2 linked regions of the Drosophila melanogaster genome follow. The protein of the gene in region 1 interacts with the protein of each later gene in a pairwise test. Each region holds a gene or a part of one and is shown on either strand. Other genes may lie near its edges. The genes, in order: pico and Trim9.

Region 1 (5,167 bases):
ATCGTGTGTGACGACTCGTCTGCTCGGCCGCGCAGCTCCGACACCTTGGAGTTCATGAAGTCGATGAAGTCCGTGATGAGCAGATGGACGCGGCGGTAGAAGAACTGCGTGCTGTCAGCACAAATGATGATTAGCTTGCGAATCGGCAATTGACACTTCAGTTGTCAGTACTCACCTATAGACCAGATCCTTCTCGAGCAGCAAGCTGTGGAAGAAGACGAATACCTGCGCTCCCAGTGCCTCGTCGATGAGCATCTCATCGCGATTGATGATCGAGATGGCGGTGGCCTGAAGCTGCAAAGGTGCATGCCGCAGGCTGGCCAGCGTTAGTCCGAAGCTGTAGGCAATGATGGCATTCAGGCGCGGTGCTTGCCAGCTGCTCTGCGCGTACAGCTCCTCCAGGAAGCACTCGGCGAACTCGCGATCGCTGAAGATCGGAAGTCGGGTTGTGTGCTCATTGGGTTCCTCGGTGACCAGCAGCATGGAGGTATCGTACGCATACAGCAGAGCCATCAGCATGATCAGGGTCACGTCGTCCATGTTGCCGCCCGCGTCGTGGTTCTTTCGGTTGGCCAATTGGTGCATCAGCCGAATGGCAATGTGTCGCGGCAGGCCGCGTTGTGCCGACCAATTGAACAGGGCCATTGCCAATGCCTGTTGAATGTCCTCGTATAGGCCGAGCACCTGGTTCTGATGCTTCTTGGAGCCAAACGCGCGGTTTGTGGTCAGCATAGCGCACTGCGAACGTTGGACAACAAATGAATAACAATTTGCGAAGGAAGATATGCAATTTCAGAGAATTTCAGAAACAGGCGCATACAAACCCACCTCCTTGTCGACATCCATCTCCTCGAGCAGCTGCAGCAGGCGTCCCAGTATCCCAGAGCCGTCGACAAGGCTCTCGGCATAGTTAGTGACCAGACCGGTGATCTGCGTGCGTAGAACGATAATCAGGGTCAGTGAATCTCTCTTTCAGCGGCACTGCGATGCCTGCGATGTCGAAATCTCGAAACTTACCTCCTTGGGCAGTTCGGTGTTCCACGAGACGCCGCTAACCACCTGGAACATGTCGCGAAGCGTGCAGCTGATGGCCTTTCGTCCATCGTAGTAGAGCAGCACCGCGACAAGGCCTCTGGACAGGCCGGGATGATGCTTCTGCTGGCGCTGTGCGGTGCACAGCAGCTCCACGGCGAAACCCTCGTCCAGATCGAACATGTCGGACAGAATGACCGCCTCGTCGGCCAGGTCCTGTGACATCTTTGTCTTTCGCGAATGCCCCTGCATCGGGACGCCTTCGTTGAGGGCATTTCGTAGGAGATTGCGGCTCTTCTCGCTTCTCGGCTGCCGACATTTTCAATAATGGATTATCAATAATTAGTTAAATCTACGGATCTGCAAGCGCTTGTTTTGCTATACCCACCGGATTGCGCAGCAAGTTGCTGAAGTTGTGCTTGTACTTCTTGAGGCACTGCTCCAGATCCGAGGTGAAGCCACTGCGATTGGACACCGCGGTCTGAAAAGTGTTGTACAAATGCTTGTACGGCGTCCACATGTCCTCGATTACAGCTGTGGACGCATGGGTGGCATTAGTGATTTGGCGACCCACGCACATCTGCTCGTTGGCCAGGCACTCACCATCCATTTCACTTGGTTTTGCGGTTCGCTCAGTTCACGCAGTTCTTGCTGATTCGCAGTTATTGACTATAAAACGCGGCAAGATTGCTTCGCTTTGCGACAAGGCGCCGGTTACCAGGGCTGGGTGCTGCAAATACTGGAAAACACAGATGTTCACCACCGTACGAACTCACCACGCTCGTACGCGCTTCGGTGCTTGTGCCCGCTAACTGCGGTTGCTGCGCTGGCTAAACGGTTGATTCGAACCAAGTCAATCGGAAAATCGATGCTTATCGAACGATAATCGAGGCGCTGCATCGGTGCGTTGTCGCACCACTAACTAACACAACTTCAGTGCGGCGCGGGCGGGGCGTTTTCGTGAAAATCTACGCACGGACTTTTCGTAGTTACCCGATAGTAGCATCCATTTGTTTTGTTCCGATTCGCGTTTTTTTTTTTTTCTGTTCTCCGCCACTTGATTTGGCCAGCGAACGCACTGCCCAAGTGGTGTCCTGTTCGCATTGTGAGTGAATCACCGATGGCCGCGGGCAGGCTGAACTGCACCATAGTGGGATGCTGGTTCTGGCTGTCGATGCAAGTGGATGTGGAAGTGGATGTAGAAGTGTAAATGCAAATGCAATCGGCGCAGTTCGGCTGCAATAAATGCCAAAAGGGATACTAACTGCCAAAGCCAGTGCAATTGGAAGGAAAATTCAAATTTCATTGGGAATTATTCGAATTGGAATTGAATTTGTAACTGGAGTTGGAGTTCAGAGTACTTGGTACTGGGTGTGCGAGAGCGACAGAGAGGAAGAGAGGCAGTGCAAGTGTGTGGGGGTAGCAGTCACACAGGCACACACGAACATACTCACAACTCCAGTGCATAAAACTCCAAACTGCGTTCGCCTCTCTCTTTTCGTTTCGCTTGCTCTCTCCCCTACGTTCGCCCACGCAACGCCTGGCGAGCGAGAGAGAGAGCGGTATAGAAGAGCAAGGGAGCCAGAGCGAGAGAGCAAGGAAGTGGTTTTTCCACCGAAAATATGGACAAAGGCAAACTGCAGAGTTAGCTGAAAATAAAAAAAAATAAAAAAAAGGAACAAGACACAAACAGTGACTGAAATAGCGGTTAACAGCGCTCCCTTACGGCGAATCGTTGAAATTCAAGACGGAGAGCTATCGCATTTCTTCAATTATGTCTGTTTCGCTTTTCATTCCGCTGCAGTAAGCGATCGCGCGAAGGAGCAGCAATACAGAGAGCGAGATTTGGAGAGAGAGAGAGAGAGATAGAGAGTGCGCTCCCAATTGACGACTCCACTCCACTCCCACACACACTTAACCCCGCCCCCTCGCACCCGTAATTACTATGGATTGTGGTGGTATTGCGGCACATCAGCAACAACAACTACAACAGCAACAACTGCACTTACTCCAGCAACAGCTACAACAACAACACCACCAGCAGCAGCGGCAACAACAACAGCACAGCCTCGAGGAAGCAGCAACAATAACAAATGTAAGTATCTCCCAAGTTTCTCCAAATGTGTGTGTGCGTTTGTGTTGCTCGACCATTTCCTCTGTACTTCATAATTCGCTCCCACACACAAAAAAAAAAGAAGTCATAGGACAGAGTACACAGGAAGAAACTGAACTATACCTTTAAAGTACAGCTTCTTCAAATTATAGTAAGAACGGTGCAAATGGTAGACTCACATATGGTTGGTAATTGTATTAACTATAATTCTCTATTAGTGTTTTTTTTTTCGAGTGTATTCAGTATACTTTACTCCTTGGCTATGAAAATAACCTAGTTATGCAGTGCTAGGTGATCAAAAGACTTCAAATTCGGTACTCCAAAGTTGAGACTGCCCAACTAGTATCATGGATATAGTTTCCTATAGTTTGATAATATAGAAACTTAAAACTTTACCACTCCCCCCATTCGATGGGTCAAAGGAGAATTAATAAAAGCAAACGCAGAGAGCGGAATGATTAATCTTTGGACCAGCTGCTGGGGCAAAAACGACCACAAAAAGTGCTCAATGCTTTCAAGTCCAACAGAATGCCGACCCATTAATTGGTGTACTAACTTTTTCGCTCTCTCTTGCGCCTCTTTCTCCGTTCTTGCCCCATTACTTTCACCGTGCATAAACGCTGAAAAGAGTTCCCGATCGTTGTGGTTCTGTTTTTCGTTTTTCGCCTCTGAGGTTCTCGATTTGTTTATGCGCGGGCGGCGGAAGAAAACCCGATTCCACACGAAAAAAGTCAAAGGCGATGTGCGATACCATGCGGCAACAGCAACAAACGCGATGTTGTTGCTGCCCCTTTGTTTTGCCGCAACAGCGGGCGTCGCCCCGCTCCCCTAAGCCACTTCACTTCCCAGCAGTTTGTGGCACAACCCCAACCAGGAAGGTCGATTAGTTTCTGGATCAGAATGGTAACAAACAGTTAAAACAAAGGCTCCATTTGGACGAGATAATAATCAGATCCAACAAAAACATTTTGTTTATAAGTGAACTATATATTTAAACAATGTTTGAACATCGCTTGGCTGGTCTCAATAGATGTAATTTCAGTTGAAGTATATCTTACATATATTAGAGATACATTTGGTACAAAGGAAATTAACCTTTAAAATTGTTATTTTTAAAAATGGTTTAACAATTGGAATTCCCTTAAGTCCAAATGTTTAAAATAATAGTTATCCACAGTCCTCCAGTTTTATATATATATATATACTTTATATCTTTGCAAGTAAGCCCTGTTTGTTGTCAGTCGCGGTTTTGTTCACTGCACACAAACATTTTGTATCTATGTAAATAAATACATACATACACATACATATAGTTTAGAGTGAACTGTCAGGATGCCAGGACGTGACTGCGTGCAGCTCAAGGACGAGGACATGGGAATTGGCCTCCCGGTGCGTGTCAAATTTGCCTAATTGCGCGCAGAGGTCAGCAAATTCTGAAAAACTGCGCTGCCCATTTGACCATTTCTACTTGGCCAGCACGCACATTTTTCATTTCCCAAAAGCAAATATTACACCTCAGCATAAAAGGTTGAGTAAGCAGTTTGCTTGACAGCAGGACAATCTGTTAGTTGGCATTTTTGGATTGTTTCAAACTAGTGAGTTTATACAAAACTCATTGAAAAATGTTGCAAAAATACTTGACAACTTTTTTCACTCCAATTCCATATCTTGTGTGAAACAATTTAGGAAAAAAAACTACTTCGATATGTAAATTCTTTTTTGATGAAGTCATTATGCAGTTATCAAATACATTTATCTAGTTTTTTCTTTAAATTCAAGCTATCCTCTGGTTTCCGTGCATATAAGGCAGTTTATAAGACCAGGGATTGGATGTACGTTTTAAGAAATATACTTTCAACTGCGTTAACAACATAATATTTAAATTTTTATTTTTTTATTTTTAATTTCTTTTAAAAATGTAACTCATTCAGATAGGTATATTCTTAATGTTAATGTAGTGAGTCGCTTTGTTCCCACAAAAACAGAGAAGATTGATTAAAGCCGATACTAAATGAAAGCTGG
Region 2 (5,138 bases), on another chromosome or scaffold:
GGTATTTGGCTGGCAAATCAGTCTGATTTTGTGATAAAAGTGATAAGAGCACGGAATGCGTAATTTGATGTGGAAACATTCAACCCAAATAGATATACAAATAGGGCGAAATGCGCCACAGATACTGTTATCATTGCGCGTACTCTTCAATTATGAAATATGGTGAAAATGCAGGAAAATTTATCTATTCGAATATTCCAGTTTATAGTGCGGGTCTATCAAATGTACTATCGAAATAGTAATGTTTTTTTAACCTATTTATATGTATCTAATAGCCCACTTCTGCTGGAAATCCTGCTTGAGATTCTTAGTTAGATTACAGGTTAAACCAGAGACCAGAGACTGTGAAATACTTTTGCGCATTTGTTTTTGGGATACAAAAAATGCTTTCTATTCCTTCTGCCTTGTTATCCTTCGGATAATATCCTTCTTGACCTGACTAGACAGTTGATTTCCCTGCCTCACTGTCATCCTTTGTTTTGGCTGCCACTGCAATTTGTCACTTTTCGCACTTGGCTCTGTCCTTGTCGCAGTTCGTCCTCTTCCGCTGGCGTCGGTTTGTTGTCCTTGGATGACAGGATGTGCAGGCACTCGAAACATTTGCCATATTAAAATTGCTGCCGTTGACAATTGCCAGTGATTCGACGACAGACGGCGAATTCATGAATTCAACTGGCGAACGACAGGTGAGAGGGCCAAAAAAAACAACAACAAAACAAAAAATGCCACTGAAGTTCTGTGAAATGAAATTCCAAAAGGTAGGAAAACGAAACTTATCGCTGAATTAGCGTGCCAAAGTTGCGAGATTGTGGCACTTGGAAGGTTCCGTCAAAACAAAAGCTAACGAAGGTGGGTAGAAGTTGTAAAGAATTTGCTTTAATGAAATACTTCAACTGGCTAACAGACTCAGAGATACCCCTTTCAAAATGTTTGTCTGCAGTTGTGAAATGTACAAAAATTCTTAGTATTTTTTCAAGCCTTGTTGTTATCCTTTTCTACAGTTCCACATTCATAATACAATTTCGTTGATTTGCAAGCTGCTTTAAGCACCAATATTCCCAAATACTTGCAGCAAAACAATGTTGCATGAAAAATGTTCGGGGCCACAAGACAAGCCATAAATTTTCCACAAAAAAGCCAGACGAAAGGCAACAGTAGAAATGGAATACAATCAACTAAAAAGGAGGAAGCAAGCCAGGATGTGGCCAGGATATGCGATGCCTTCGCCAGCAAATACATATTTATTTCATGAGGTCCCTACTTTCGCCCCTAATTAGTTTGCCTCAATGCCGTATTTTTCTTCGACCCCCCCAAAAAGGACTCTTTTGATTCCTGGCAATGAATTTCCGGACATCACGGTCATATCATTGGCCTTTATTGGCTCTACACAAACTGCTGGGATCTGAACTTGGTTTGCATAAATAACCAATTCCTATTTGGTATTTCTTTAATTAGCACATCTTCCCTCTTCTGTCTTTCAAATAAAAGCACTTTGTTTACCAATAAATTAAACAAATATTTGTATTTGTCTGGCTGTTAGTAGAATGGTCTGCAATATTGACTGAAGGATTCGAGCATATTGTGCATTTAACAAATTAATTTAATAAATACTTGTACTTGTAGTATAGATTCAAGCAGTTTCTCGTTTTGATATGGCATATGCAACTCGCAATCATTAAAGTCAACTATTTAACTATCGAAATCCCATCACACAACTCACCTTTTGAGCCTTGCAGGTGACGTTGATGGACTGGACGTCGTGTGCCTGGTGGCGCAATTCTCCGATGCAAAGTCCGCAGGCGGGAGCCTTGCAGCTGAGGCAGTACTGGGAGAGGGTCTCCTCGTGCTCCCCGCAGACGGACTCCCTCTGCTGGGCGGCGCCGCGCGGCTTGACCAGCGTGTGCTTGGCCAGCGGTCCGCGGGCGGGGTGGGTCAACTCGCGGCAGGCGTCGCAGTAGCGAATCTCGCACTGCTCGCAGATCAGGGAAGCGACCTTGGGATCGGTCTCGCACATCTGGCAGCGGAGGGCCTCGCGGGCGCAAAAGCGATCCACAATGGCCTCCATGGCGCGGTAGGTGGGCAGATTCCTAACGCCTCCGTCGTCGAAGAAGACGAGCTTGCGGCAGAGCGGACAGGTGAGACAGTAGGCGGCTCCAGGCGGTGCCACCACATTGCCCACTCCTGGCAGCAGTCCTGTGCCGGCATAGGACACCGGACGCGATGTGTTCGAGCAGCAGACCACGCCCGAGTCCGCCTCGCTGAAGATGCTCACCTTGTCCGACTGATCCTGGTCGGAGGTGACGCTCTCGCTTCCGGTATTCGAGCTGGCCGTGCTGGCAGCGGAGCTGTGCGAGCTGTGCCGTGTGCCGGGTCCATTGGGATTTGTGACTGGAGCAGCTGCTCCGCCGCCGGCACCGCCTCCATTGCCATGCAACCCATTGTGTCCCGCTGCCGAAGCTGCACCCGCTCCGTTGACAGCGCCCGGTAGAGCCGATCCCGGACTGTACGGCGTCTGGATGTCCAGGGCACAGCCCAGGCAGAGGGCGTGGAAACATGGCAGCAGCACCGGATTGGCGTACAGCTGCTTGCACGTGGGACAGCGCAGTTCGTCCTCCATGTCTGGTGGTTATAATCCGCAAGAGCAATGCGATTCGGATTGAGTTGGCGAGGTCAGAGGTCCTGTTTAAATCGGTTTTATCCTCGCTTTAGTTGGGTTGCACTCTTTGGGACAACATGTCTTTGGTAATCCTCGAATTATTCACTTTACACTTTAATAAAATCGCGTTTAAAATCCTGTTTCTTGTTTACAACTTGTGCGTTAAAACCAAATCATAAATTGTTTTCCACATTTGAAACTTGCGCAATTTTTGTTTAGTTCGTAGTTTTTGGTATCTCAACAGTACCACACTTTTTACCAATCTTCACTTTGAATTCAATTTCAAGTCCTTGGAAAATTCACTTTTCACAAATTTTGTTAAAAATGTCCTTTGTTTTTTTTTATATATATATTTTGCAGTTTGTTTTCTTTCTATTCAACTTTCTTGCCACTTTGATTACGCGCCTAACTTTTGAACGCGACCAATTTCGATTTTGGGCATCCGCAACACGACCGATCCGCTTGAGATTTTTGAACGACTGGCAGTGGAATAACTTGCTTCCGCAGTCGAGGTTTCAATTCGAACTCGAATGCGTTCGACTGAGCGAACCAACTTCTTCATACCGAACTTCTTCAAGTTCGAATGAAATTAAACTATTGTCTAATAACCGCTGAAACATACGCAAAAATAATTATTGTAAAACGTATAAACGTAAAATAAAATTATTATTATTTTTTTTTTTGTTTTTTTTATTGTTTTTTATTTGTCATGTGAGTTAGTTGTTATTTGTTGACTGAAGTTCGATTCGAACATGAGCTGGCTCGATTCGAACATTCTAACTTGACAGTTTGACTACAGTTTGAGAGCGACTGCTTAAGAATAATTTTCTGAGTAAGCACTGGAAATTAAGAATTTGATATAAGGATATTAAAAATAATATAATAATAAATAAAAATATTTCAACAAAGCATTAAAAACAAATATGCGTTCAATTTCACTATCGCATTTTCTATCGTAATGCACGAATTGCCTTATCGTGAGATTGAACTAAAGCTATATAATATGATAAACCTTTATCAGTACAATACGTTTGTTTTACACCAGCTGCAGAAGTAATAGCAACTAACAATTATTCTTTTTAAGAATAAATAAAGTTTGTGATATTTTTATAATATTGTAGTTATATAATAATTGTACCAACTTTTAATAACAAAGTTCCAAGCAGCAGCAAAAGTTTGGCAAGGAACCTCACGACTGACCAAACTATTTGTCAACTTTGACTTGGACTTGAAGAGCTATTAATTGGAGTACCACCACTGTAAGTGGCTCAGGTAAGTGAGCAGGTAATGTCGGTGCCACCAGTGCACCACTATACCACTGCACCACTGATAAGCCCCGACCGGCCACCGACCCACTCGTGCACATGGCGACATTCCTAGTACCAAGTGCTTATATGAAGGTATGTACTACATCGCTCATTCCCCAATGGAGGTGTCAGCTACGTCGATTCTACGATCTACAAATATTATTGGACCACGCTGTTTGTTTGACTGATTTAAAATCGGACTCTGTTTCAGACCGTTTTCCAGTTTGTTTTGACACCGGAGCGGCCAACCGAGCGGGAAATCGAGAGCTAGCGATTGAGGATGGTGAAGAATTCCCCACGGTAACTGACATTCGATATCGGAAAGCTAAATACAAATAGGTGACCTGCTCTAGATGTTTATCTACACAGAGAGAAAATCGTTAGCATGATGGTGTTAAATAAATAAATAGCTTTCTTCAGTATGTATACCTTAGGAAAGTAATAATACTATTTCATATACTATATTTGATTCATTTTAAATTTAACAAAGGGTTTTTCAAATGGTGCTAACACAAAAATTGTTTAAAGTATTCTGATATTTTACAGATATTTTTTTGAGTGCACGCTATACAGCACGGTTAAGGAAAATGATGGAGAACGTAGCAAGAAAATCGTGCGGCGTGGAAAGTGCCTGACTCCCCCCTTTCCCAATTCAAGCATATCCCCACCCAGAGCAGTGCGTAATCCGTTCGACTTAATAAGCCACGTTCCTGCTGGAGTATTTGATCTGGATTTGGAATCGGGAGGTGTTAAGTGGCTCCCCACCTGAATGCCGCACCGAAGCCACCAGACGAACGTCTCACTCGACTATGCAAATATTGACAGGGAACGCATTCGTATGCTTAATTTGACTCAATTTATTGTTGTTTGCTTTACTTTTTCCCAGCCGAGTCCTTAATTTCCGCCTTGTATTCTTTTTCTAACTGACTAATAAATCACAAAATCGGACAGCCAGTGACGAAGAAAGGGGACGAGCTGGGCGCCTAATTGCCGTGGTATTGATTTTTATACTCTCCTGACCTATGTGTGAACTTTGGAAGGGAGATGGCGCCAAAGAATATGATACACAAAAAACGATAGCCTTAACTGGGATTGATGACATGCTTAATTATTGCATCATTTAAAAAAGACTCGTAATGTTCAACAAAATGGTACTAAATACAATTTTCAATGTC

Evidence for each region.
Region 2: the proteins of pico (region 1) and Trim9 interact in a two-hybrid assay, tested with the Drosophila melanogaster proteins (one study listed by BioGRID).

Annotation. Positions count from the first base shown.
Region 1 is NC_004354.4:19,848,823-19,853,989, reverse strand, and holds the start of pico (pico), read left to right. Parts: upstream 1-1,930; 5' UTR 1,931-2,977; coding exon 2,978-3,127; intron 3,128-3,939; exon of another isoform or gene 3,940-4,045; coding exon of another isoform or gene 4,046-4,048; intron 4,049-5,167. Other genes in the region: Nup205 (nucleoporin 205kD), read right to left, coding at 1-111, 176-738, 829-930, 1,018-1,341, 1,421-1,642.
Region 2 is NT_033779.5:10,542,883-10,548,020, reverse strand, and holds the start of Trim9 (tripartite motif containing 9), read right to left. Parts: upstream 3,139-5,138; 5' UTR 2,618-3,138; coding exon 1,721-2,617; intron 1-1,720. UniProt on the Drosophila melanogaster protein: E3 ubiquitin-protein ligase activity. During embryonic and larval development, regulates the pattern of axonal projections of class IV nociceptive sensory neurons (C4da) downstream of netrin receptor fra.